Linked DNA regions of Styela clava. The protein of the gene in region 1 purifies or fractionates together with the protein of each later gene. This does not show direct contact. Links are inferred from orthologs where the notes say so. Each region holds a gene or a part of one and is shown in the gene's direction. Other genes may lie near its edges. The genes, in order: cell division cycle protein 27 homolog, ubiquitin-conjugating enzyme E2 S-like, anaphase-promoting complex subunit 11-like and serine/threonine-protein kinase Nek2-like.

Region 1 (7,346 bases):
TGGCTGTTTTATCCATTCACAGAGACGTTATTTCTGGGATGCATGACTTTGATCAGCGCGTTATTGAGCATTTTGCTTCCAAGAAACCGCGGCGTGTTGCATATATGTTCAAGCAGTAGAAGTCTAGTAGCATATATATCTATCAGTGAGCGACGCATGTCCTTATCTTTGCATTAACTTTCCTTTCTTCATAGTAATGTTTTAAACCTTATTTTAGGTTTTGTCTGCTTTCCCGAAGTTTCTGTTAATATGTCATTGTATTTATCTGGGTAAATATTGCCTTTCCTTTTGAAAGAGGTTTCAAAATAAACTATGTCTATATTTATTAATCCCTTGACTTGGACCGGTTTTAAAGACACTTTCTTATCGTTGAAAATTGTCGCTTTTGCCGATTGGCTGTTACCGATGGAATGGTTTTTGTGCTCATAAAATGATGGGAGAACTTACAGCGCTCATCCTATCCCCGTAGATGGGGGTGACTTGGTCCCGCAGTAGCTTGCCCCGGTTGTCAAAATGACCACGCGCCGCCACTGGAAGGCGGTATTGGAGGTAGGATATCATTTTTATCCCGGGTAAGAGGGAGGCGGCTTACTCACATAGCGTACCACCACAGCCACTCGTACGGTTACCAGTCTATGCATGGGATTAGTTAGCCGGCTATTTTGTTTTGTTGTTTTTTGTTGTTGCAAGGACTCTAGGGTTGGTTTATCAAAATATTTAATCAATCAATGACGATATAAAACTGCGATAATTGTAATGGAAGGTCTGACTACGGGATACGTCCGGAATAGCAGGTATGGTGGAAGAGACAAAAATATTCATTACAAAATTCTCTCTAAAACTGAAAAATTGTAACCTAATCAGTCTTATTGGGTTACTGGTCTTTCGGATGCAACTGCAAACTCAATTCACGGATCGTTTATCATAACAGACAAATATTTCACCACATGCAATAAACAAATTCTCATTGAAGTTCCCAAACACTGTTCCACAACTGATTAAATAACCAGGTATCGAAATACGATAAAACATGAGCAATCGACATATTAACTAATATTTCAATTTGCTCACTGAATTTCCAATAAGTTAGAATCCTTTTAGGGAATAAATGAATACTTGCTGTCTGATTCTGCTGTTCTGATCTGATGAAGACATACACCTGGTTCCGAATACATATATTGCAATTGTATAATTTACAAATACAAAGGACAGTTCCAAATCATGACTGATAAGCCAGGCAAAATTACCAAGTTGCACTGCAGGCCCGAGGTTCGTTAATTACTTGTCCGTAGTTATCCTTTTTTCTCCTAACGAATGTTCGCTTTTATGCTGGTTTTAGTATCCTCAGAGCATGACGCGATATCGTCATGTAACCTATATAGGACGTCTGATTGTTACGTATTTTACGACTAATAGATTGCTTCTAATTTTAGGATTAGAATGACTTAAGTTAAAACACGAACTATCGAGCAAAAACAGCTGATTTACCCAATATTCTATTTCTATATCCTTTCCACGATTTACAAATTACAAATTACAACCAGCAATCCAAAGATGTCGGGATTCCGTCAATCATTTTCATATAAAAAACAATTTCATTGTTAAGAGGAATTGTATCATACTTAGTCCCATAAATGGCAAATAAGAGTTGAATACATATCTTCGCGAAGTTTAATAAGCTTTGACAGTCGTCAAATATATTCTCAAAAGTCGTTGTGAAAGTTATGTATATAGCAGGGGTTCTCAACCTTTTTCCTGTTAAGTACCTCCGAGTCGTGAAATAATCAACTCGAACTCCCAGTAATCAGACACCAAACAAAGTTGTAAATTGTAATATATTGACTAATAATTTATAAACTGTTTTTCAAAGCAGTAGTTCCCAGCCGCTGGCCCACGGACCGGAAGCTTTTTTGTCGTTCCGCGAGAAATTTTTATGTGTTTTTCAACCGTCTTAAATCGCTTTACCGAACGCGAAATAACGACGTTGGGTTTGTTCATTACGCTATTTCTCTTTCGCCAACCTATTGCTGTTCGCGGTATTAAAGACGTATTGGCGCCGAGTAATCACACTTCTCGCTTTTTCGGTTCCGATTCATCGCGAAAGCATCCTTCAACCTCGCGAGATTCAGAAACCCAAAGAATGACACACGTGTTTTTTCTGTTCTGCATGCTTTTCCTGTTCGATATGAACATCCAAATAAAAGGTTATGAATATTTCTTTGTTTAAGGCAGAAAACAGTCGTTGACAGTATAATATCCCAGGGGTCCGCCTTGACATCTAGTAAAATATGAGCTTGTTGCGACCCCACAGGTGGTCACGAGGCGCACAACAAAATCATGGGCCGCAGAGATCTTTTCCATGTGATGCACAGCAGGATTGTGTACCTGGTGCCAAGTTAACGATGACCTATTCATCTTAATGTAAATTTTGTTTGATGCGTTGATTAACTGCAGAAAGATAAATATGAGATCAGCTGACCAACAAAGCATCTATGTCTTCTTCTGGGCCAAGTTTGATTCACTCATTTCGGTTTTTGGCCGACGCATTATTTGTTTTTATACATGTAAAATGTTTTCAAGTGTGCCTTCTTTATCTAGAAGCATAGTGGGTGCCCAGCATTTCGTTATATTGCGCAAATATATATATGTTATTATTTTCTCTTCCACTCATTTCAATTTTTTGTCGGTCCGCGAGTACATCTTATTCAATTTTATCGGTACGCCATAAAGGTTGAGAACCACTGGTTTAAAGAATATATGAAGGAAATAGCAACACATGAAAACTCAACTGCCATCCTAGTACCCCTAGAAAGCTTCTCGTAAAGCCCTGGTATATATATAGTATTGGAAATCACCTATCAGAGAAGCCGTTTCGAATGCACAAATATCTTGTATGTCTTACTCAATATTTTCATGTATCCTTTACCAAAGACAATTATCAATGTTGATTTCAATAAATTTATAAAAATAAAACTCTTGAGATACCTATATTTGGAAATTGACTGCGGTCCAAGGTTTTATTCGAAAATGAAATCATTTGAGATGAATATTTCCATTTTGATGGTTTGCGTTTATACGTTAATGTTTAAATTAGGTGGCCCACTGTATTAAAGGTTGCACATCTCTGGTTTAAATAATTCCAGTAAGAACGTGGTCGGCATAATCCGCGCGATGCTACTTGGGTTACCTACATTTTCCTTTTAAGAAGACTTTATTTTGGAATACTAAAGAGAGAGATTTTTGCTATAGTGGAAAATTATAGTAAAACTATTTATATTGCGTGACTCTATTCTAAATTTAAATCAAATTGAAGCTTATAGTAACTTTGTAGTTTTCATAGGTGACACGGGGAAATAATTTTTTTTAAGCAGATAACACGCGCATATAATGGGTGCTCACATTGCAAGAAAGACAATAAAAACTACTTCAGTGTCGAGACTCAACGGGCAGATTTTGCGTTTTCTTGGGAAGGTTGCGGGTCGGAAAGGTCGCGGGGTCGGAGCGTACCGGTAGTTGCTAGTTGCTTGTACTGATACGGGTCTTACTACTTACTGAATACAGCGCGAAACACCGCAAAGAGCGCAAAACAGCGCGAAACAGCGCAAAAGAGCGCGAAACAGCGCAAAATAGCGCGAAACAGCGCAAAAGAGAGGAAAACAGCGCGAAACAGAAGGAAACCAGCGCAAAACAGAGGGAAACAGCGCAAAACAGGAGACGTAGTCATTACCACCTCCTGCCACGAAAGAACCACGGCGCCTCTCGCCATGGTTTTATGGCGCTATTTCCGGCATATTTACAAGGTTATGTACCGGATTATAGGTCACCATGCGAAATTTTATCTACCTTTTTGGTGCTCCAGAAGTATGTGCAGCAATATGTCGCACAACCTGAATCCGCTACACACACACATACTCTTTTCAGGTTGTGCGCCATCTTGGTGCACATACTTCTGGAGGTCCCTTTTACCTAACCCTAACCCTAAAGCCAACCATATCCATATGGAAAATGTTCTAAATTATGGTACCCAAAATGTGTCACCAGCAGGGGCAGACCTGTCATTACAGCATTACTGGCTACATACGTTGGTTTGTGTTTTTAATTTGCTGCCGTGGTACTCCAACTCAAAACAAGGTGCCCCGAACTCATTGTAAAAATTTTTTCTGCTTCACACTGTTTCCCTCTGTTTTGCGCACTTTCGCGCTGTTTTGCGCTGTTTCCACACTGTTTTGCGCTGTTTCCCTCTGTTTTGCGCTGTTTCGCGCTGTTTTGCGCTGTTTCGCACTGTTTTGCGCTCTTTGCGGTGTTTCGCGCTGTATTCAGTAAGTAGTAAGACCGTACTGATACTGTATTGCTGTATTAATAAGTACCGAACCGTATAAATTCATTTGTTTATATCCAGTCTTTGTAGCAATCTGATGAAAGTTTCTCCAAGTTAGAGTCCAACGCCCGATTAATGAATACCGGTACCGGTACAACTTTTTGGATTAATTTGATTAACTTAGTGTATACCGGTACAGGATTATGACGATCATCCAAGAACCAATCAAGGTAACCACATCGATACAGTTTATAACATTAGTATTTGAATATTTTGACCATCATTTACCTCAAAGAACTGTAGAACACTTCCAATTGCAGAATTGAATGTTTTATTGCTGTAATGCAAATCAATCAATGGTTGAAGCAGTCAGTTTTTCCTGTATTCTCCAATAATTTTCGCTCTTTGATATTTAAGCCTTTAACGAGATACTCAAGGCAACTATTAATACTGTCCGACTGTAGGACAATAATGTTTTTACAATTATAATCTGCAAACATTGACTTTCAGAAGACACATTTTTAATTTTTTGTAGCGATTTTTATTCATTTCTTCAGTGTCGTCAGGTCAAAAAGTGATTAAAGGATTATATAGCCTAAGATTAGTTGGTATCATAAAGTTGTAATTAATAAAGTATTATACATGTCTTAATTTCAGGCTGCAATATGGCACTCTCTCAACCATTATGCCTTTGCCGATGCAATCTTTCTGGCAGAACGACTATTTGCTGAAGGCAGGTTTCTCATATTTTTTATTTAAGAAATTGCAAAAAATATCAAACAGATTGATGTAGGAAAAATAGTAATTGTGAAAATTTCATAATTTGATTTATCAAGCAAAATTCAAAATATGACATTGTGGGCCAAACCATCGAACAATCCCTTCAGTCACAACACAAGAAAAATAAAGTGATATCATATTATTAAATCCTTGACAAAACAAAATTTCATCTAATTGTGGCATAACACAATGTCAAAAAGGTGAATGATGCAAGTTTCAAAATATGAAACTCATTCAAAAATAATGGGATACAAAGTCTGTTACGTGAATATGTTCCATGGGCTGTCCGTGGCCTGTGGACTGTATGCTGCATGGTTCTTGACTATACATATCGTTTTGTATTGGAGTATAACTAGTAGCAATTTGGGATATCTATATTCAGATAGTTGAATTGATAATCCAAATATGCAATTCTTATCTTGTTTATTGTGAATAAACTTTTTCCGACAGAATTGTCATATCATATTCTAATAGTAGTAAAAATCATAATATTAATGTAAAAATATCATGACTTACTATGATCATTGCAACAGAGAGATATCAGTAAATGGTGGTTGTGATAGGACTTAAAACAATTCAAGCTGGCACTTTCATAAAGCAGATAAATAAGAAGTTTTACGGATAATCTTTTAATACAGAAATTTGAGTTTAAAATTTTTGAACCTCTCAGTCTGTGAATAAATAGCAGCTAATGTAGTGAAACAATTAAAACTGATTCTGAGTCCATTACGGTTCACATGAACAAAGTTAATTATAACGGCTAATGAGCCAAGATAAATCAAATTTCATATTCGGGAAAGACATGACATAAATGGCATAACTTTTTGGAGTGGTTCTTTGTTTGTCCCTACATTTTACCCAAGTGATTCATTTTTGCAAACTATGAAATCTTACAATATTACAAGCATACAAATATAAATCTTATTACCTCAACCCACCCTCCTATCCTGTCTAATATAAACTTTTTTTATTACAGTTGCATCAAGTGATTCGCTCTTCTTGTTGGCGACTGCTTATTACAGATCAGGAAAACCTAAAATAACACAAATGCTACTTGATAAACATGGGATGACGATGCCTGAATGCAAGTTACTTTATGCACAATGTGCATGGGAATTGGAAGAGTAAGATTTTTTTAAACAAACACTCTTGGTAGATTGTCATTTACACTTGATTAACTAGACCAGGGTGGTCCAAACCCAGGCCCGCGGGCCACATGTGGCCCGACGCTCCATTATCTGTGGCCAGCGCCGTATTCGGAGAGTAGGCCTAATCAAAATATCGTATTTTAAATTGCTTCTCATGAAATAAATCAGAAAAATCGTTTAACATATTGTTGTTATATCACTACTGTGACTGAATTGACTAGTTACACTAGTATGATGGCTAGCTGAAGCAACTAGCGAAGTTGAAGATGTGATGGGCAGTCTAAATCGTATTGGTCGGGAATATATGCTAACAATATAGGCATGGTAGAAAACTAATTGGTAGAAAACTAAATCGGATGCGGATTCCATTAGCCTAGGTTGGCAACTATGTGTTTACACAATAGAAGTGCTTGTTTTGTATTGCACTGTTTACCTATTCTTGGTACTATTGTGGCCCGCGACAAATACCAAAATAATTTTGTGGCCTGTGGAGCCCACAACCTTGGACCACCCTGAATTAGACCTTAGGTAAACTGCTATTGATTTCTGAATTTATGTTGGAGCTTTGAATAAATAATTGATCACAGGTATTTTCTTGTAATCTAGTTTATTGAAGGTAATTTAATGCTTGACGCAAGTCAGAATATAAGTTCACTTTACTGTAGCAGTATTTGGTGGAAGTCTCTTTACCCCAAGCCATGAGCCAAGTCTTGGTCGAGTTTGAGTCAATTATTGGGTCAAGTCTAAATGGCATAGATAACGATTTTTTTCAAAAACGCGAGTTACTTTTGAGTCTTCAATAAATGATTACCCTAGTTGAGTCGGTTACTCGAGGCATCCTCATCCTCATTATGATTGCAACCTGTATTTCTATTGTTTTGATACTAATTTGATACCATTTTTTTCAGGTATGCCAAGGTAGAACAAATTTTCGGACTTAATTTTTCACCAAGACAATTGAATGGATCGCAATATATCACCAATATTATCAATGATATTCATTCTGAATTTGGTGAATCATCATGTTTTGCTCTCAGTTTACTCGGAAGAACTTATCTTCGAACAGAACGACCTGATCTTGCTGAACATTGTTTACTCGC
Region 2 (7,354 bases), on another chromosome or scaffold:
TAGTGTTTCTGTGAAGCTTTTTTTGCCTTTTATGTTGCGGAGGGGAAAATAGAACAGAGTAACAAATTCTTTTTCCTGCATGACAAAAACATAAGTGCATCAAAAGTGGGAAATTCTTAGGTCACTACTTATTATATATTGAACTATGTGGACCAATGGTAATCTGTACATAAAATTTGAATATTGAAGCATTTTATGTGAAAGCATGGACATTGGGGAATCCGAGCTCTTTAATTATGGAAAGACCAGAGTTGGTAAAAAGAGTCGGCCCACATATGTAGAACAAAATATCATTTTTGTCAAAATTTTCAATTTTTGACAAATATTCTTCTAGCATTTCTTTGGAAATTCTTCCTCTTCTGCCGTTCCAAGATTCATCGGCTTGTGATAATATATTGTGAGTGAAAAATCTTCCATGATAGTTTTCTGAAAATGCATCGAGATCATCTCTCCAAATAATATCCTCAATTCTTTTGTTGAAAAAAAGTAAATGAACTTGTGAATCATCTCGATCTCGCAACAATGAATATAAAACTCTAATCATAGGCGTGATTCCAGTACCCGCTGCCAACAAAACATGCGTGTTATATTTTGAAATAGTCTCTGCATCAAAGTCTCCATCATATACACTTACAGATATTTTATCATTCGGTGATAATTTGCCCAACGCTGAAGTCAGCGCGCCAGTTTCATAGTGTTTAATAGCCAGATAAAAATCACATCCGGTTTCAAGTGATTTTTCTGCATTTTCATTCAAAATTGACTTCAGAACTGGAGTATAAGGTTTTTGTACTTCAATGTTATCAATACTAGTTTTGAGGTAGACATGGTATCCCTTGGGCACATACATTCGTCGAGAACAGGGCATTTTTATATGATACAAGTCAGTATCGTGAGTCAATGTAACTTTACTTGCAATAGAACATTCACATGTTCTCAGTTTAAAAACGTCTCTGCCGCTGAAGTTTTCTTTAGTTCGTCGTACATCACCAAGCGTGCTCCAGTGTATTTTTGGGTCCATTTTTGTAAAGACAACTTGTACATTTCCAATGGAAGTAACTGCAATGTGAATACTGCATAAAACTGGTTGATTTAGAGCAATGTGAAATGTGTGCAGTATTTTGCCTACGTGTAAATCTAGTACAGCTGAATTCTTATTCAAAAGATCACATACAACATGATCTTTGGAAAAGTTGGGTATTTTTGTATACAAAACGATTACAATAGTTTTTGTTGTTTGATACCAATCCAAAGTTGGTTCAACTGAAGATTTTTCATTTGGCAGGGAAATAGACACATCAGAATTTGAGGTATAATCTTCAAGATTTATTTCAGGTACACCTGCCGCAGTACCTCCAACAGAGTCAATTTTTAAAGTGTTCACGCCAAGAGGATTTAGGCTTGTTAAAGATGTCGGAGGAGCCAGTATACTATGATTAAGATGTTTTGGATTTGTGTCTATTAACTTTCCTATTAAGCATTCCTTCAACATTGATTCATAGTTAACCCAACGATGGACTTCTTCAAAAAGAGACGTGGCATCTCTCCCTGCACCACGCATCAGTTCATCTGCACCACCCGGATGATATTCCAGATAGGCAGTAACGTTGTATACCATTCCACGCAATGCCATCCACATATCATTAGGCTTGTTATGTTTGGCTAGTTCATCTGTCGTTATACGTAGTAATCGAGGTCCTGTCTTTTTCAAGTCCTCTCCAGATTTTGTCCGTTGTATCCAGTCAACGAGAGACCTTCCTGGTTTCAGTGGAACCTTTTTGCTGGGTTTAGTAGGATTATTTACGGATAACCTTTGCTGACTATTCAGTGACGGGAACATGACAATAATTTCTCTATGTAAGCACTGCAGAGTATAGTATATCACAGTATTACAATACTTTAAAAGGCAAAAGTAATTTGTAAGTAAGAGTTCAATACACTGACATACTACAGTACCAATTCATTATTATTATGAGAAACGTGAGCAATAAGACATACTTTATATGCATCAGTCCATTAAATAAATAAATTCTCATCAAATAAAATGATCGCTCGATTTAATGTTGCATATGACAATAGATAAAAAGTTTAATCGCTGCAATTGTACGGAAGTACAGCTGAATGATATGGTGAATTATTTTTATAGTTACTGTGTATCAATTGAATTTCCCCGACTTTTATTTTTACATTCTCTTCCAAATCATATATGATGATTCATATCAATCTTGTTGGTTATTTATGGAATGAATAAGTTTCTCTTTGTGCTTATTTCTCTTATTTATTTCAATTTTTATTAACTCGTTTTCAATCTTGGTGTCCCAGACTTATGATGCTATCTCTGGTCCTTCGCGACTTCCAGTTAATTGCAATGAAATCCGCTACTGTACCGCATAATTACTTTTTCCTATTTTGAATTTGTGTTGTGATTTCTTGCACGACGAAACAAACCTATTGTCTATTGTCATAGACAGATAGATTTACAATAGTGAGCTTGATACAGACCCAATCCTACCAACAGTGTATGTACATGCGTAGGGGCACTAGATCAGCAGTTCATGGTCATCTGAATACAAGACTATAGGTACAGCTTTCAACATTAACTGTCTTTTCTATTTTTTCCATAGATAATTCCGTACCGGTACTGAATATATTACTCCCAACCACTGCACCAGCAGATAATGCCTGAATTCCCTCATGCCCATCGTCATATTACTACGGTACCTAATTAATTTTCGATTTCATCTCGGCATCAACCGAATACTTATAGCTTGTGCTAAGTAATACAGTGCCGTGAGCAGATACAGAAATAAGTGCCTAGTATTACGGGGTAATCAATCATTTAAATGTTAGTATACGGTATGCGATATGAAAAATAACATATTGCATTTGATAGTAATCGCATTAAAATGCGACTCATAAATGTGACGCACTGCAACACATATTAAAACGCGTTTCCGCGTACCATACAACGCGACTGTCAGTGCCATCTGGGAAATTCATCAATACAATTCATTTATAACTCCAGATCCTGAATGCCCCTGTCAAAACGAACACAAATAAATGAATACATATAAATAGAATAGGCACAGTGAATATAAATACCGAGATGCGAGGGAAATGTTAAGTTACCGTAAATGTAATGAATGTCGTATGAAGCAATGATGCAGAGCAAAGGATTTGCGCATTGGAGCAGCAAACAAAAATGTTTCGTCAATTTTAGGGGAGAACAAACAGTTTTTTTCCAATATTTCAAATGCTATTGAAAAACATGTCAATAGGCAATAAAAGCAGCCATATAGGTCGACCGGACCCTCTTCAGTCTACGTTCGCACAAGATGACTGCAAAATTGGTTGATTTGTAATAAAGTTCACCCATTGAAGCTAACGAAGTTGATAGATCTTATTTCGATTCAGTCGCAAAAACAAAATATACGTACACAAGTTTAAAACGTATTGAACGCGTCCACCCACCGAAAAAGAAAGAGTCACAAACCTAAACAAATAAACATAAATATTGACAATGCTGAGGTGTCTCATTCTGTAATAAGGTTGCATGCAATATATTCAAAAACAGTGAATAGCGTGTGATGTGTGGCGGCATGTAAACAAACAATCGATAAAAATTTTCCATTTTCGCATCCCAGTTGTACACTTCTGGGCCCACAGTTGAAAATTTGTAATGGCTCTGTTTTTTCGCTGCATGGACTTGGTGGTGGAGGAAGACGCGCTGTTACAATAGCCACCCTATGGCTGCGAGGAGTCCAGTAACCCTATCGCACATAAATTTCTCCACGGGATTCAAACCTGCGAACCCACGTAGGGTAATCAGATGTGCAATGGCGAGCGTATTCCAAGCGCCACATCGCTATATATATTGCAATGTATATAATGTCTCTTAGCGTCTTTGAAAAACACGCTTGGCACGAAAAAGTACTTTAAATTAGTTTGAATAAAACCGTTTTAGCGCATAAATTAAATTTCAGTTTTCACCTTGCATCTCTGCAGCAGCTGAATTTGCTGTGATCTCACACATACAAGTAATTGAATGCACCTGTTGTTGTAGCGAAATTATGATATCCAGACTATTTTATAAAATGAATAAACAATTGTTAGCAATGCAATCCGGTATCCTAATGTATAATATTTTGTTTCTGGAATAAAGTTATTGCCTATTGTGAACGATTTGAAGCAACAAAACAATATTTTTTATCTTCTCTTGCCACTCGCAAACCGCGACAGATCGTTAACGAGTTACGCCATCATCTTGAGATACAATAGTTTACTGCTATAAACACTTATTTAGTATTGTAAATTTCCAAGCAGGAGTGTTGAAAATAAAGCCAGAACTAAACAAAAACGATGCTAAGAACAATGTTGACTCTAGTCACGTGACTAGTTTTAAATCAACGGCATCTGACGTCACAACGTCGTAGTACTGTTCTTTTAATCCTCATACCAAAGCCTTGAACACAGAAAATATAGAAAGGGTTTGGCTTTCGCGTATATTGGATTGCAGGCTACTTAGTCCAAGTCGACATAGGATTGTAGGAGGGACACTTAGCTGAAAAATGTCAATGGTGAGTCTCACAGTATTACAGTAATAATCAGATAAATTGTGAATTGCAGATAGAATATATTTAAGTGGATTTTTATTTTAGCTATGGGTCACAGTACTGAAGCAGTCGTTTTCTAAGCTCCAACTGGTCATTTTAATTGGACTAAGTACAGAATTTCGCATTTTCGTTTTAAATATCTGACCTTAAAATGAAACATTTATTCCTGCATTCTGTCATTAGATTTCATTTGGTGCAATATTGCTGTATTGGAAAAAATTTGTTTATCTATTTCAGCATGGAAATCAAGAAAATCTATCCCCTCAAGTAGTGAGACAAGTTTATAAAGAGTTGAAATCTTTAGCAACAGAACCAATTGAAGGAATTCAAGTCACTGCGAATGAAGAGGATGTGTCAGAAATTCAAGCAATTTTGGATGGCCCACGTATGAGTTTTATTATTGATAAAAAAAGTTTTTGCCAAACTGAAGTATTGTGGAACGGATTTGCTTCACATGCTTTCTCCACCATCAACTTTACGCATTTGAAACAAATAACTGGCTAACTAAGTCTATACTCGACATGGACTGGTAACCGGACGAGAGGCCATGGTTCGCTATGTGATTAAGCCCTCTTATCGGCTTTCCCCTAGGACAGGGGTTCTCAACCTTTTTTTTGTTAGGTACCCCTCAGGTCATGAAACAATCATCGCGAACTTCATGGTAATCAGACACCATTCACCCATCAAAGTTATTATTTATTGACTAACAATTTGCTGCAACAACAATTTATTGACAAACTGCTGTAGCTAGATTAAATCTTCGTGTTGATGTCATTACCCTTGTCCTTTGCCTAACTATTAAATTCTTAAAATCTCTCTCAAGTTTCAATAAGCATTATCACTTTCTGCAATGCCTGCAGAACACTGTCTTTTGAGATTTCACAGTTTGGCTGCAAAGCGGTGGATTTTACATTGTTGCGTCTCAATCGCAACAACGCAAGATCAGGGAAAATCTATGCTGAGTTTCGATCGGCACGCATTTTCCTCCGGTAGTAAAGGTCATTGAAAAACGGCATCACACGAAAACTCGAATGCCATCCAAGTACCCCTGAAAATCTTCTCATGAACCCCTGGGGGTTCGCGAACGCCAGATTGAGAACCCCTGCCCTAGGATAAATATGTAAATCCTAGCCTAGTGTTTTAAGTCTTACGTTCACTGAATATTTTAGGATTCTGTCACTGGTCACTTACAACTCACAATGCCCACTCTTTTAGACCTATCACATTGCTTTGCACGATATTGCAAAAAATTATAAAAGGATATCAAAGTAGATTTATCATTGAATAAATGTGGCTTCCTTGGATACAATATGTATTATTAACTGCTTTGGGCAAGACATTTATAAAAGTATATAGTTAAAAAATATTTTTTTAGTTATCTTGACGAACAATGAAAAAAACTCTTATGACCTTGAAATGTATTCATAGAAAAAAACTTTTCCCAGTCCAGGTTTGCCCAAAAAATGTTTCTTTGTATTTGTTTGTTTCTTTGTAAGCATCCATACAGGCTGGAAGCTATTGAATTTTTTGTCCATTTAGAGGGCACACCGTATGCTGGGGGTATTTTTAAAATGAAACTCTGCCTAACTAAAGAATTTCCTGCGAGTCCACCCAAGGGATTTTTTACCACTAAAATATTCCACCCAAATGTGAGCAGTTCTGGGGAAATTTGTGTCAATGTTTTGAAAAAGGATTGGCATTCGAAAATGGGAATAAGGAATGTACTCCTGGTATGTACATTTTATATTATTGTTTTTGTGTATGTCAAATTTGGAAATAAATGATGAATTTTTAGTCAGTGCCAGCTTTGTCACATAGTGTCGTGTTAGGCACCCAACATTCAGATGTAATCACATGATGTGATCCTCGAGCAAACTGGCCAAAAACCAACAATTTTTAATGACTTGAAAATTAAATTAAACATTTGAATTCTGGTATGAGGCAACTTATTCATTCACTTTTAATTGCTACGGCCATAGTAATATTCTGTCATCAATCATTTTTTTTTGACAAAAGCAAGTATGATTTATTGTGTAGCATGAATGTGCGACATTTGATTAAAAATTTACAGTCACTGAAATAAGTTATGAAAATTGAATAACATCTAGATTCATTGCAGCTTACAACAGTAGTTTGGTTTTCTAAGAATGCAAAAATGAATCCAAATCAAGATTCTTCTTGAAAGTCAGCAATATTCTTTATACCCAATTTGAAGTTAAGATCATCATGACAAATCAGTATTCGTCACTGTTGCATGGTTGATGATTATCTTTTTTTTTAATTTTATTTATTTCGGATTTTGAATATGAATTTAGTGTATTTCAATCATAAATGCCTGCTATGCTCTCACAATCAAATGGCTGTGACTTAAGGTGTGTCAACTGAATCCAACGATTGTCAAAACTCATTGCTCTCTGCTTTGTGTATAAAATTATCATGATTTTTTTGTCAGCTTCTGACCCATTGGCGTTAAATTTTTATTTAGTTTTTCGATTATATTTGTTTCTTCGTGTTTTAGACTGTCAAATGTCTTCTTATTCATCCAAATCCTGAATCTGCGTTAAACGAAGAAGCAGGAAGACTCTTATTAGAACATTACAAAGATTACGCCTCTCGGGCCAAACTTATGACTGAAATTCATGCTATGCCAAATGGAAAGTTGGCAAGTACAAGACCAGCAGATGATAGACCTTGTTCTAGTGATCATAGTTCCACTGGAGAAAGTGGTCCAGCAAACAAAA
Region 3 (6,516 bases), on another chromosome or scaffold:
ACGCTGTGAACAACAGGTCAGTATACGGCCTTCAAGACTAGTATATAATGGCTCTGGTCTGCTGTATATGATTTCATGAATCATACTGTTACACCAAAGATTTAAATAAAAATGTTCACTATTCCTATGATGATCATTGCTTGCTTTGTTTTGTAAACACGATTCTCAAGATGAGAATTATGAAAATTTTCCTATGGACCTTTCCCCGAGCATCGACTTCCTTGTTTACTTCGTGACATTGGCCAATCAGCAAAATGCAAAAAGTAACGTAACAATGCCCCCTTTTCGCATCCGCTCAGACACTTTTTTCACTCAGACAGATTTTCCAGCGTGGTTATAAACATTACCTCGTTTTCGCGTTTTTGAACTCTATTCGTTAGTTTTCAGTTGTGTTTTGGAAACTTAAATATAAATCAGATAATTCAATGATCACTCTGTCTTCTTAGGAGTTTTAATTTAATTGCAGTAATAAAAATTAGTGTAGAAATAGCTGTGATAGACTAGCCTGAAATTCTTCACCGGTACCTTTAAAAAACAGATTGTTGTATGCAACGAATCATAATGATGTTTTGAAACATATACCCCATTTTACAGACGCCAACTTGCAAAAGCACTCTTAAAATAGCCCCAAAGGTCGGGGAAAGCTCCATTGATTTGACCCTCTTATGTTGGTCAGAAACGTTTTCAAAACCCATCTGCTAAAACTTCTTGATAAGTATAGGCTACTTGTAAGTATTTACATTCAGTTTTAGAGTGCAAGTTTGTGAAAATCCCAAAATGTATATAAAGTTCATGCAATTTTGAAACAGTTTCAGATTATGACAAACCTATGAATCAAAATCATCTTTCCCTATCCAGTGTGTTATTTTTATTCAATACTGTGTATGTATCACTGAGTTGCACTTATTTATTTTTCACGTTCAGACACATTCTCATCACATTGAAAATTTGTCGCTGATCCACTATGTATACATAGCCAATTTATTTATTTTTTTCTGATTATTATCGTCCAAACTCCATTGAATTTAGTTTTCAGATAAATATAAATTTCCATCAAATTATTCTGGTCGCCTTTGTTTCATTTAACGAATGCAACCGCGGACGTCGTCTTTACTGTCGAAAATTCAGTTCGTTTTAGTCATTTAGGCCTGTTGTGGTGTGAAACACTCCAATCATGGGACCCCAAATGGCTAAATAGGGTATTTCGAATGTGACGGCAGAAGCCAAAAATAGCCCAAGCTATTTCAGAACGCCCTGGTTGTCAGTAAATTCCGGGACAACCGTGGCCCGGGGCGCCAGACGTCAATTCCGGGACTGTCCCTGTCATTGCGGGGACGGCCGATAGCCCTAGTCTGAAATAATTTTAGATTTTGCCTACTTTCCCCATTTTCCGTAGGCTATGTGTGTGTGTGTGTGTGTTGACTTGCATTCACTTTACTAACCGTGTGTTGCGTCTATATTTTGTTTGTCACCGAGCGGCGTGGGTTGTTAATGTAAGTGCCTCATATTGGGTTCGATACTGACTGGGACGCCTTATCGGATTTCTGCGCTTTCGGAATATAACTACTCCTTTAAATCTTCCCCAATAACTATTTAAAACTACTAAAACTAGGCTTGTTTGCGTTACACTACTCGACCCGAATGATCGAAAATGGCGTCCATATGACGCCATAATGGGACAAGTTAGTTGCACGGTGTTGCAGGTCAGTATACGGCCTTCCAGACTAGTTATATAATGGCTCTGATGAGACGATAAAGATAAAGAACTGACTAATGTCAGCGATCTCTCTCATACTGGGATCGTTGCGACGAGAAAACGAGAGAAATAGCTGTTCGATTTCGGTTGCACCAGTTTATGGTCACTTTGGGTTGCACAGTCTTGGATGACAGTTTGTATATTTTGAAGGGCTATATTACGTCACTGTGAGGTCGCACTGACGTAATTTTTAGATGGAGTAGACAGGTGGGGGTTAGGATTGACATATGCAAAAATTGTTGAGCCAGGCCAACAAGAAGTGAATGTGGTACTAAACTATACCAGACCCAAATAGAGGCGCAGTTCTTACCACTTCATGGCGGTTTTATAGCGCTATTCTGTATTCAGTAATCAGTATTAACGGTATATTCACAAACTAATGTACCAAATTCTAATTGATCATGCGGAATTATATCTACTTAAACCCTAACCCCAAATCCATCAAGACTGTATCCATAAGAAAAACGTTCCAACTTACCCAATATTTGTCACCATAAGGGACAGCCCTGTCCTTACGGCCCACCTGCCGCGGTTACGGCAGCAAAATTTTACCTGCCATTGGTTTTAAATTTGCTGCCGCGGTAACGGCAGATCGACATTGGTTTGTGGCAGCTAAAAAGTCAGTCGCCATAGGTTTGGCCGTAGCGGCCATGGTATGGAAATACCGCCATGGTTTTGCGGCAGCTGCAGACGCCATGGAATACTTGAAACTGCACTTGCCCAAATAGTACAAGTAGGCCTACTGGTATATTATTATTATTTTATCTATAAAAAAAAAAAAATAGTACCAGTACTGGGATAAGAACACACAGATAAATATAGGGACGTTCAACCACTTAATACCTGAATGCTGTAATAATAGCATTCCCATTTTGCGTAACATTCAATATTTCGGCTTATATGAGTGTTAGTTAAGTATAAACCACCTAAAACAAGGGAACAGAATCAGGTTTCATTTAAGCCATATAATATAGATTTTCCGTGAATATACGAGCGCATTTGTTGGTTGTTTCCATGCTCAACCCCAAAAATGTTTTGGGACCGGCATATTATGCTATATTCATTTTGGGCAGTTGGCTGTTTGGGGGAGGGGATTTTTAAACCAAACTTGAGTCTGATTAGCTGATTAGGAAAAAGTTTGTCGTCCTTTTTAGAAAAAATCCAAGATGAGATCAGTAGCTTTATACCTAATTTTGTAATTTCATAACTTAAATGCATCATGAAACAATATCTTTCGAAGTCATAAGGCCTGCCTAATCTCTCTCAGTCTCTATGTATATTGTATACCTACATTTCTAACTAACTGCATCTTTCATATTAAAACTGAAAAGCAGAATATATTATTATATTTGAGATCTGTAAATATTAAACCATGTTTCGTAAAACTAATGAATGCTATAGAATGATTAAGTTCTGCACTCCAATTACAAGGAATTCAAAAAGTTGCAGAAATATATGCAACACCATGAAATATTTTTCATCAGGAGAGTCATCGAACAAAATTAAGAAGATTGAAAATGAAATTGAAGAAGATAATACCGAAGAAAGTGTATTGCAACCTGTTGCAAGAAAAAGTATTATTCAAATGGATGAAGAAGATACAGCGGTAGAGCGCAGTGTGAAACGAAAAATGGTTTCACAAAACACCATGTACCAGCAGATGTTAGCAGAGTCTGCACCTGACGATGAAGAGGCGGTTCTGGAATACTATGTACGGAAAGCACAGGAACATACAGATTTAGTTGATGATGCAGAGTATTATGATGTTGTTGAAGCGGATAAACGTCTCTTTTTCAAAATGGTTGACATGTGGATTCAAGATGCAGGTGAAACTCGTAGAGGACACAGGGAGTTTGTGCAAGTTGCCCTAAATAATCTTGATCGATTCAATGTCCAGCATGAATCCAAAGCGTATTTAAAAATACTTGAATGTTATCCTCAATCAGAACATACTGGCATGCGAAGAGACGAGTGGTTTAAATCGGTGTGGCAAGATAAAATTATAGATCATGAACTTGGTGGAAGATTATTTAGTATTATGGCAAAAAACAATGCCCTTATTAATGATGAATTTTATAATGCATGCATGAGACTTTTTGGAAAATTCAGCCGAGCTACTGTGTCTGCCAGGCAGCTTATTTTTTGGCAGCCTAGGTTGTCTGCATTTGTTCCATTTCTTATCTCCAAACTAGAATTAGAAAAATTGACTCCCATTGAAATTGCTGTAAGAGGTTTGAGACAAGTGAATCCTGGTATAGATGCTTCATATCGAAGATTTGAAGTAGACTCATCAGTTCTCAATGATAAAAAATTGACTCCGGAAGCAGAAATAGATTGCATAATAAGCGTACAAACAGATCATCAAAGAGAAATGCTGGATCACCATGATGTAACCAAGCCACTTTTTGTAGAAGGGCCTAATATGGTGTACTTTCAAAATAAAAAAATTCAATACTATATTATGAGAACTGACCCAATTGAAAACAAGACCGAAATGTCTGAACAAGAACGAGTGTTAACTGATAGGGAATGGTGGACCCAGTTTTATGGTTCAGACTTTGGAACTTCCAAAAGATTTTTCAATAAATCTACGCAAGAATTATATTCAACTGAAAGTTTCTTGCCTAGAGTAAAATTAGAAAGTAAAAGTTTTGTGGACTTGCAGCAGAATGAAATAATTCAAGTTGAAGATGACACTAAACCCTTTGAGGGTAATGTATTTGCAGTTGCTGCAACTGATCATAAGTCTATTGGTGCTCTGCGGAGTTGGGTCAAGGGTTTAGAGCCTTCCAATCCGAAGCTCTCACAATTAACTGTAATTTTTAATGAAAAAGTAAATTTTTTGTCTGAAGGTTATAAAATTGGCCCACAAAACATAAAAGATGACCACCGTGGTTGATCGATATAGTAAAGGTGCAGAAATGTATACATGATCTATGAATAATTGCGTAAAAATGCGAATAATATATTTAGAAACTTTATCAATGATTCTTTATCAACTTTATGAAACTTGGCTTTGTGCAGTTCTTCACTCCAATACATGGGCAGATTTATTCCTCAATAGTAGGAAAAGCAAAGTCACAAAAATCACTTAAAAGCATAGCTCTTTTTACATGGATCATGTTAAGTTTTTGTGTGTACCACATTCATGTCAAATTTTTGGTTGTTTTCGATAAAATTTAATATGTCTGAGTATACTTTAATTTATATCATCTACTTTTAGATATTTGTTTGTGTAGAGTTGTTTTTAACCAGCTTAAAAATGAAGTTCAAGATAGTCAAAGTGCATGCTGTTGCAAAATGGTGTTGGCAAGCATCAGATGACAATTGTGGAATATGTCGTGATCCGTTCGAATGCTTTTGTTCTGATTGTAAAGCACCGGGTGATGATTGCCCTATTGGTAAGTTATTTTTTAAGAGTTATTGGTTAAGAGAGAGCAGAGCATTGGTTAAGAGTTAAGAGAAAGCACTGAGGCTGAATTGTGTTGCTTATCAGATCATGAATATAAATAAAATTCATGATATCATTTGTTTTGCAGTATGGGGACAGTGTTCGCATTGTTTTCACATGCATTGCATACTGAAGTGGCTTCAATCACAACAAGTCAATCAACAGTGTCCAATGTGCAGACAGGATTGGGTTTTCAAAGAGTGAACTATCAACTTGAAAAGCATTGTGAAAATGTAGCAATCAACAGTGTCCAATGTGCAGACAGGATTTCAACTGGAGCAGCCCTGGAAAAATGTGGCTAAGTGTCGTTGAGAATATCTGGTGGCATCTTCTCATTATTTAGGTGTATGCTGCTATATGTAGCCTCATTAACGTTAAAAAAATGCACTATTAGCCGAGTTCTTGGCAGGTAGTTGACGAAATTGAGTTGATGATTGAGCATTAATTTGATTATGATATCAGTAACCACTTGTTATGGAGAGGACTTTTTTTCTGGTTGAATGGATGCAATTGAATTACAAATCTAAAGAGTTGGGACAAACTAGCTGCTAATTTGTAACATGGATGGGATCCTATTTGAGTTAGGAATATCGATTTCGTTTTAGTGTGAGTTCCACTGATCTGCCCAGACATTACTGCTACATCAACGGCGCTGTTTTTCATCCATTATTTATTTTTGGCTATAGTATAAAAACCAACGCAATATCACAATGCTAAGGCAACGAAGGTGAAAAGGCCACACATGATTCTACTGACAACAGTTCGGCTGAATTTCATTTTTGTGCATAATAAATAAGTAGCGTCGTCAATTTTCGTCTAAAACTGTGATGCATCTATTGCAGGTAGAACTTCCCCCTCACAGGTTCCAAATCCTACTCTGTAATTTTCTCCTTGACAAAATCCTGATAGAATAACATTGTCTCCATCTTGCAAGAATTTTCTTGATTTTCCATTTCCGAGATCAACAGTGCGAGTTCCCTTCCAGCATAATTCAAGCATGCTGCCGAAACTATCTTGCTCCAATCCACTAATTGTGCCCGATCCATACAGATCCCCTGTTTGGGTATTGCATCCACTAATGCTGTGATGAACAAGTTGCTGCTTCATTGTCCAGTACATGTATTTGAAATTAGACTTACAGACAACTGCGGGTTCGACCATGTCTTTATCTCTTATTGCCACAGACAGGTTGATGTTAAATGCATAGTTATCATCATGTTTCAAGTACGGTAGAATTTCAACATCTTTGGGATAATTTGGTATCGCAAATGGAGCAAGAGCCTCCATTGTTACCACCCATGGTGATATA
Region 4 (6,890 bases), on another chromosome or scaffold:
ATATTAGAGAAGTTTTGTGTAGTTTGTATAGTGATCGTTTCTTCTGAAATTAACTTTCAATATTCATCCAAATGATAAACGCCAGTGAGACATGTGTTAGTACCGTTTGCGCCGTATTTTTAGAGGAAATCAAATGATACCAAGGGAAGAAATCGCAGACCTTTGTTTTAAATGAGGAATAATGCTGTTATTATAATGACATTACATAGGTAATTAATAGAAACGTTTATATAATGTAGGATTTGTAAAACTTCTTAACATTTTAAATAGTCTAAAAAACATTGTTTTCTCTAAAGCTGTGACCCATGTAAAATACTCCTAGTGTTCCAACTCGGGAACGCTGTAAACATAGGGAAAATAAACGCTTTTGGTCAATGATGAGATGGAATATAACAACCCCCGAGTGTTACGACCTGGGAACGCTTTAAACGCAAGGAGAACAAACGCTTTTGGTCGATGTTGAGACTCGTCCCTGCATTGTGCAATCGCTGCGTGGTATCTAAATTATCATTTTTTTTTAAATAGAATCAAGCCGTTTTTTCTTAAATTGCTTCAAATCGATTCGAATTAAGTTTGATTCGAATCGCTTGGATTCGAAATTCTGAAACTTACATCCCTAATCATGATACACCTGTACCGCTGTACCGTGAGTCATACAGTCATAGGTCGGGAACCCATGGCTCGCGAGCCATTTATGTCTCTTTTGGTGACAACATATTGCTGCCACAAAAATCCAATATTCTAAGGCTAAGCTTACTACTGTGAACAGGTTCCTCTTTTATAGACAAATTTGGCTGAAAATTTGCCAATACGTTTGAGAACGAGCGCTTCAGCGAATGTCAATGTTATACGAGGAAATTGCCAGACTAGCAATGTGACAAAACTCGGAATCTAGGATTCTGGAACATATTTTGTGATATCACGAAGCGTTAGAGTCGTGGAACAATAAAGGAATTAAAGTATTTTGTCCGCTTGTATTGTTTATTTGTAATATTTAGATTGGACAAAGCTAATTTTTAAAGCACTACAATACTGAGATGCCCAAAAGAAAGAAAGGTGATGAGTATCGTGGATTTCAGCTTGTGCTGAATGTGAGCAGTCCTTCAAGCCCCTCAGCGACATATTATTAATTGTATATTGATATTGTTTGTTCTAATTGTTGAGTAGAAATTCAAGACATGATAAAGTGGTGAAAAAATGTTATATGGCTCGCACCGAAATGTCATTGAATATACGTACCTTTCAAGGCTCTTTTGACCAAAAAAGTTCCAGGCTCCTGATATAAGTTGATATAACTAGTAGTATATAACTAGTTAATATAATGCAGTCTGCTGTTGGGTATTCACATTTTCATGGTATCTGTAAATAAAATTGAGAATTTGATGTTTCTACTAATTGCATTTTATTCTCCAGCTTCACTAACTCTTATTTTTAATAACTTAATTTTTTAACTGATATTTCAGGTAACCTATAGTTTGATAGTGGAAAAGTCTGTTCCATTATTTAATTACCTGTATACATACATATTCTGGGAAGGATTTGAAAAAAAGTGACATGGACTGGAAATCCAAATTGAAAAATGCTTTGCAGTCACAAGCTACATCAAGTACTTCGGCTGAAACAGAAGAGGAAAAAACAGCAAAAGAGTTGAATCAATTTACTGAATTATATACAAAATGGAGAGGCAGTTCAACCAGCAAATGTGAAACATACAAAACCATTCCACGATTTTATTACAGGCTTCCTGCTGAGGATGAAATTTTATTGCAAAAATTAAGAGAAGAATCCAGAGCTGTTTTTCTTCAACGAAGAAGCAGAGAATTGCTTGATAATGATGAGTTACAGAATCTTTGGTATCTTCTTGATAAACATCATACACCCCCTACTACAAATGAAGAACAAATGATCAATTATGAAGATTTTCTGGAAGTTGGGAAGAAAGCAGGAGAGAAATGCAAACAATTTTTTACAGCGATAATTTTTTCAAAGTTAAATCAAAAAGATTATATGGGAAGAATTTCAATTTTACAATTTTTTAATTATGTTATGAGAAAAGTGTGGCTTCATCAAACAAGAATTGGTTTAAGTTTATATGATGTGGCCGGACAAGGATATTTGAGAGAAGCAGATTTGGAGAATTACATACTAGAACTCATTCCTACTCTACCTCAACTTGATGGGCTTGAGAGATCATTCTATTCATTTTACGTCTGTACAGGGGTTCGAAAATTTTTTTTCTTCCTGGACCCGATGAGAACGGGTAGAATTAAAATTCAGGATATACTTGCTTGTGGATTTCTAGATGATTTATTAGAACTCAGAGATGAAGAATTATCGAAAGAAGTTCAAGAATCTAACTGGTTTTCTGCACCTTCCGCTTTACGTGTTTATGGACAATATTTGAATCTTGATAAAGATCATAACGGAATGTTAAGCAAAGAAGAGCTGGCGAGATATGGAACAGGGACATTAACTAAAGTGTTTCTTGATCGAGTCTTTCAAGAGTGTTTAACATACGACGGTGAAATGGATTATAAAACTTATCTCGATTTTGTTCTTGCTATGGAAAATAGAAAAGAACCTGCTGCGCTACAATATCTATTCAAATTACTTGATGTACAAAACAGAGCGTATCTGAATGTATTTTCTTTAAATTACTTCTTCAGAGCTATTCAGGAAATGATGAAATTGCATGGACAGGACCCAGTATCATTTGCTGATGTGAAAGATGAAATTTTTGATATGGTGAAACCTAACGACCCATTGAAAATAACATTGCAAGATTTAATCAGCAGTGGCCAAGGTGAAACTGTAACAAATATCTTGATTGATCTTAATGGATTCTGGACCTATGAAAACAGAGAAGTTCTTGTTGTAGATTCTGCAGCAGATGACGATGTCTGACAATTAGTAGTATTATCTACTGTGTTACGTTTGCAATTTCTTCACAAGGCATCTTAATAATCGGATATGAAAAAATGTTGTTATGCGTTGTGTGGGGCTTACATGATTTACATATCATTAGATGATTGTGGAGAGCCTTGTTTGGAATGGGAGTATGCAAATATAAACAAAATGCTGATGAATACACAAGAAAGACATTTGGTTTGCGAGACTTGGTTTATACAGTAATTGACTTATGCCAATCACCTTGCCATAGTTGGTGTAGTTGGAATTTTGGAGATGTAAATTTGATGATTTTGTGATATTATGATATAATTATATCTTGGGTGATCTTGAAATTTAGAAGATAGGCCTAGGTATCTTCATGAACTTTGTTCGAAGTACTTTATGTATTCGAATTAAAATTTTGGATTCATAAAAATTTCAACTTGGCTTTCAAGAGTTGTGAAAGGTTGTTTTTAGAAATAACACATTTCATAATTTTCTATATTGTATAAACTGGAATTTCTTAGAGTTTTTGACTAAATTTCTATTTTTCCAATATTTCTATTTCATTCAATTGCTATCTCTGAATTTCAAATATCATCATCATTCATCATTATGAATGGTTGAAACTCAGAAATGATTTGCAGAGCAGAGTTTTGGATTACCAAATAATTTTAATATGAATCCACCAATCTACAGTATCATAGCCATACATCTGCTTACTTTGTTTTTATTATTTATACCAACCCTGTCTAGCAATCAATCTGCGATCAATTTAGAAACCAATGTTCCAGTTCTGCAATTCTGTTCCCAACCTAACTGATCATATTATATTGTGATTACCATTAATAAAACAGGGCCATTCCCTGCCATAGCCGCAGGATCCTCTATTTGTGTTATGAACTCTTTTTTTAACTTTTTTAACACATATTTTTTGATTTCTCATATTTCTAGGTTGTAACATTACCCTACATTAGTTGTTAACTCCATCAACAAAATGCCATCCAAGTTATGCGATTACGATATTCTATATACCATCGGTTCTGGTTCATATGGAAAATGTCTGAAAATCAGACGGAAAAGTGATGGAAAGACACTGGTTTGGAAGGAAATGGATTATGGTTCTATGACAGAGCCGGAAAAACAGCAGTTGGTGTCAGAGGTCAATCTTCTGAGAGAATTAAAACACAAATACATAGTGAGATATTACGATCGAATTATTGACAGAACCAGTAGTCGCCTGTATCTTGTTATGGAATACTGTAGCGGTGGAGATCTGGCAAGTATAATATCGAAGAAGCGGAAGGAACGATCATTCATGGAGGAGAACTTTATTTTGAGGGTTTTTGCTCAACTTGTACTTGCATTACAGGAATGTCACAGTCAAAGAAAGAAGTTAGGCCAAGGAAAAATTCTTCATCGTGATTTGAAACCAGCCAATGTATTTTTAGATTCATCTAATGATGTGAAACTTGGAGATTTCGGTCTGGCACGAGTGCTGAACCACGACACAAGTTTCGCAAAAACTTTCGTTGGAACGCCGTATTATATGTCACCAGAACAGATGAATAAATTGTCTTATAATGAAAAATCTGATATTTGGTCACTTGGATGTTTAATTTACGAGCTTTGTGCACTTTTGCCTCCTTTCACTGCAGCGAATCAAAGGTTATTAGCTGTTAAAATCAAGGAGGGTAAATTCCGTCGTATACCATCTAAATATAGTGATGAATTGCAAGACTGCATTTCACTGATGCTAAAAACTTCTGCAGCAAGAAGACCAACCATTGATGAAATCTTGAAAATGGATTTACTGCAAGATACTCTGGAAAAATGTGGGCTCACACCTCCAGTTAGCCCAGCTGCATTAAAACCTCAAGTAGGAATAGAGGTTATAGAGGATAAGAAAATGGAAAGAAGAAAGTCATCATCATCTAGTGATAGTAGTGAAAGTGAGAAGAGAGAATCACCAGAACCTGAAGGTAAAACAAAAGAAGAAGGGCTTGAATTACGTTTGAGAGAAATTGAGAAAAAAGAGAGAGAGCTGAAAAGGAGAGAAAAACTTCTTGAAGAGAGAGAAAGAATGGCAGAAGAAAAAATGACAAATGCAGAAACACTTATCAAGCAATACAGAGAGATGAAAGCTGAAAAACAAGATCTTTTATCAAGAGCTGGATTGTCAACAGAAGCATTGCACGAAAAATATGAACGCCTTGGTATTTTACCAAGCAAGAAACAAGTTCACTTTGCAATGGAGTCAAAAGAAAATAATCCTGGATATCATGATGATTATAGATACCGAAAACTCAGCGGAGTTGGACCAATAAGTGATAAACATCTTGGAGATTACAGACATAAACTTCGAGATTTGAGATTACAAAACCAGGCAAATATGAGATATGAAAACAATATCAAAAACAGGCATCTGCTAGGAATGAGATAAATTGTTCCGATATTTGATAATAAATATAATGGAAACATGATGACTTGATGTACAAATATAATCACTCCTTTACCAAAAACATGAAACACAAACTATATCAAGAATGTATTGGAATGTATAATGCTGTTTTTAGATAATTGAATAATTTTGCGTAGCTGTGAGATTATTGTGCTGGATTTTACTTATTTATAGAGCACTGTTTTGTTTTATTTTCAATTAGTATCATGTGTGCCAATGAATGATTAATGTCACCAAGTTACTAAATAAATCGATTTGATTCTCAATTGGTACACATTGTTCAGATTAAGAAGGTCTTTTCATCCTTGTAATACTCCTATTGATCTAATTTTATATTTTCTAATTTTTTTTTTCAAGCGATTTTAACAAAAAAATTTTATAGTCTTGGCTGCTCCATTTTTCTTTATACTTCTGCTGTTACTTGTTTCATGCTCATTTTATTGGTTGATGATTTGCCTTGCCGTACTACTGTTTAAGTTTAAACTGTGATATCAGAAATTAAAAAAAAAATTACATTTGAGGCAACATTTATTGGAAGTTGCTAATAGTAAATTTCAAAAAGGAAATTCGGCATCCAGTAATACCGAAAAGGCGACTTATTTTTTCTTTGTACAACAATTTAATTATACACAAATCTATGACCATTATTTGCATACTTTCATTCGTTCACAACGTTTTTTCATACGGTGGAAATTTTAAAATATTTTTTTGCATTTCTAGCAACATGTAATTAATATGTCTCTCTTCACGTCTCACTCAAATTTCACTTATATTTGTCTATGTGTATTCTTTCTATGCAGTGCACGGAATAATGTTTGAAGGAATTTACAAGAATTTATTGCTGACCAAAAATACTTACTAAGATCAACAAACCTCTCAGTCTGATATTATTGAGAATTTAAATAGGTTATGTTTTCAATAGGAATTTGAATTTTTAAAACATCATATGCTATTCATTTAGCATTAGCAATGTTAGAAAATTATTTTATTCATATTCATATTTTCTGTGTTTTAAAAGTGGCGGGAATTCAAGTTTATGTCATAATCCTTGTATTTTTAGTATGCTGTCCTCAATCAATAGCTCAATTTTTTGCTGCTATTATTTCTTTATTTATGTCTATACTTTTCAGTTGCGTAAAATACCCATATGAATCACAATTTCACATTTCTTCTTGCTCACAGCACAAAACGGTTATTTTTTATTGGCAGCCACACAACAAACAAAAATAGTTTCAAGGAAAAATATCATCTTCCCTTGCAATAACATTATAATAATGATCGTGGTAATGATCTATAAACGTACATATTAGACCGTTTTCTTGTTGCTTGTGCTTATAATTACTATTTTAGGATTAGTCTTGACTCGTCAGTCGTCACAGGATTTATCATATAAGAGTATGCCGATGACATTTTTCGTATAACTGCTTTCATGCATTTAACACATGACATAAGCAGTCCCAGGATATTACTTTATTATGCCGTGGATCTTTTTTAAAACTGAAATAAATGACCAGGATAATAGCAAATCATGTACTTTTTA

Evidence for each region.
Region 2: the proteins of cell division cycle protein 27 homolog (region 1) and ubiquitin-conjugating enzyme E2 S-like purify together in Homo sapiens (affinity purification with western blotting; 4 studies listed by BioGRID, with this or other methods). This does not show direct contact. The link is inferred for Styela clava from reciprocal best matches to the Homo sapiens genes CDC27 and UBE2S.
Region 3: the proteins of cell division cycle protein 27 homolog (region 1) and anaphase-promoting complex subunit 11-like purify together in Homo sapiens (affinity purification with mass spectrometry; 8 studies listed by BioGRID, with this or other methods). This does not show direct contact. The link is inferred for Styela clava from reciprocal best matches to the Homo sapiens genes CDC27 and ANAPC11.
Region 4: the proteins of cell division cycle protein 27 homolog (region 1) and serine/threonine-protein kinase Nek2-like purify together in Homo sapiens (affinity purification with mass spectrometry; 6 studies listed by BioGRID and IntAct, with this or other methods). This does not show direct contact. The link is inferred for Styela clava from reciprocal best matches to the Homo sapiens genes CDC27 and NEK2.

What each region holds. Positions count from the first base shown.
Region 1 is NC_135260.1:19,715,376-19,722,721, reverse strand, and holds the start of cell division cycle protein 27 homolog, read left to right. Parts: upstream 1-4,317; 5' UTR 4,318-4,521; coding exon 4,522-4,548; intron 4,549-4,975; coding exon 4,976-5,051; intron 5,052-6,074; coding exon 6,075-6,222; intron 6,223-7,154; coding exon 7,155-7,346. UniProt on the Homo sapiens protein: Component of the anaphase promoting complex/cyclosome (APC/C), a cell cycle-regulated E3 ubiquitin ligase that controls progression through mitosis and the G1 phase of the cell cycle.
Region 2 is NC_135262.1:5,818,969-5,826,322, reverse strand, and holds the start of ubiquitin-conjugating enzyme E2 S-like, read left to right. Parts: upstream 1-4,354; 5' UTR 4,355-4,568; coding exon 4,569-4,577; intron 4,578-4,850; coding exon 4,851-4,998; intron 4,999-6,152; coding exon 6,153-6,343; intron 6,344-7,131; coding exon 7,132-7,354. Other genes in the region: cytochrome b5 reductase 4-like, read right to left, coding at 194-1,840. UniProt on the Homo sapiens protein: Accepts ubiquitin from the E1 complex and catalyzes its covalent attachment to other proteins. Catalyzes 'Lys-11'-linked polyubiquitination.
Region 3 is NC_135257.1:2,785,961-2,792,476, forward strand, and holds anaphase-promoting complex subunit 11-like, read left to right. Parts: upstream 1-5,018; coding exon 5,019-5,157; intron 5,158-5,295; coding exon 5,296-5,411; 3' UTR 5,412-6,016; downstream 6,017-6,516. Other genes in the region: evolutionarily conserved signaling intermediate in Toll pathway, mitochondrial-like, read left to right, coding at 3,129-4,655; fumarylacetoacetase-like, read right to left, coding at 6,024-6,516. UniProt on the Homo sapiens protein: Together with the cullin protein ANAPC2, constitutes the catalytic component of the anaphase promoting complex/cyclosome (APC/C), a cell cycle-regulated E3 ubiquitin ligase that controls progression through mitosis and the G1 phase of the cell cycle.
Region 4 is NC_135255.1:6,135,227-6,142,116, reverse strand, and holds serine/threonine-protein kinase Nek2-like, read left to right. Parts: upstream 1-3,877; 5' UTR 3,878-3,886; coding exon 3,887-5,332; 3' UTR 5,333-6,876; downstream 6,877-6,890. Other genes in the region: serine/threonine-protein phosphatase 2A regulatory subunit B'' subunit gamma-like, read left to right, coding at 1,555-2,904. UniProt on the Homo sapiens protein: Protein kinase which is involved in the control of centrosome separation and bipolar spindle formation in mitotic cells and chromatin condensation in meiotic cells.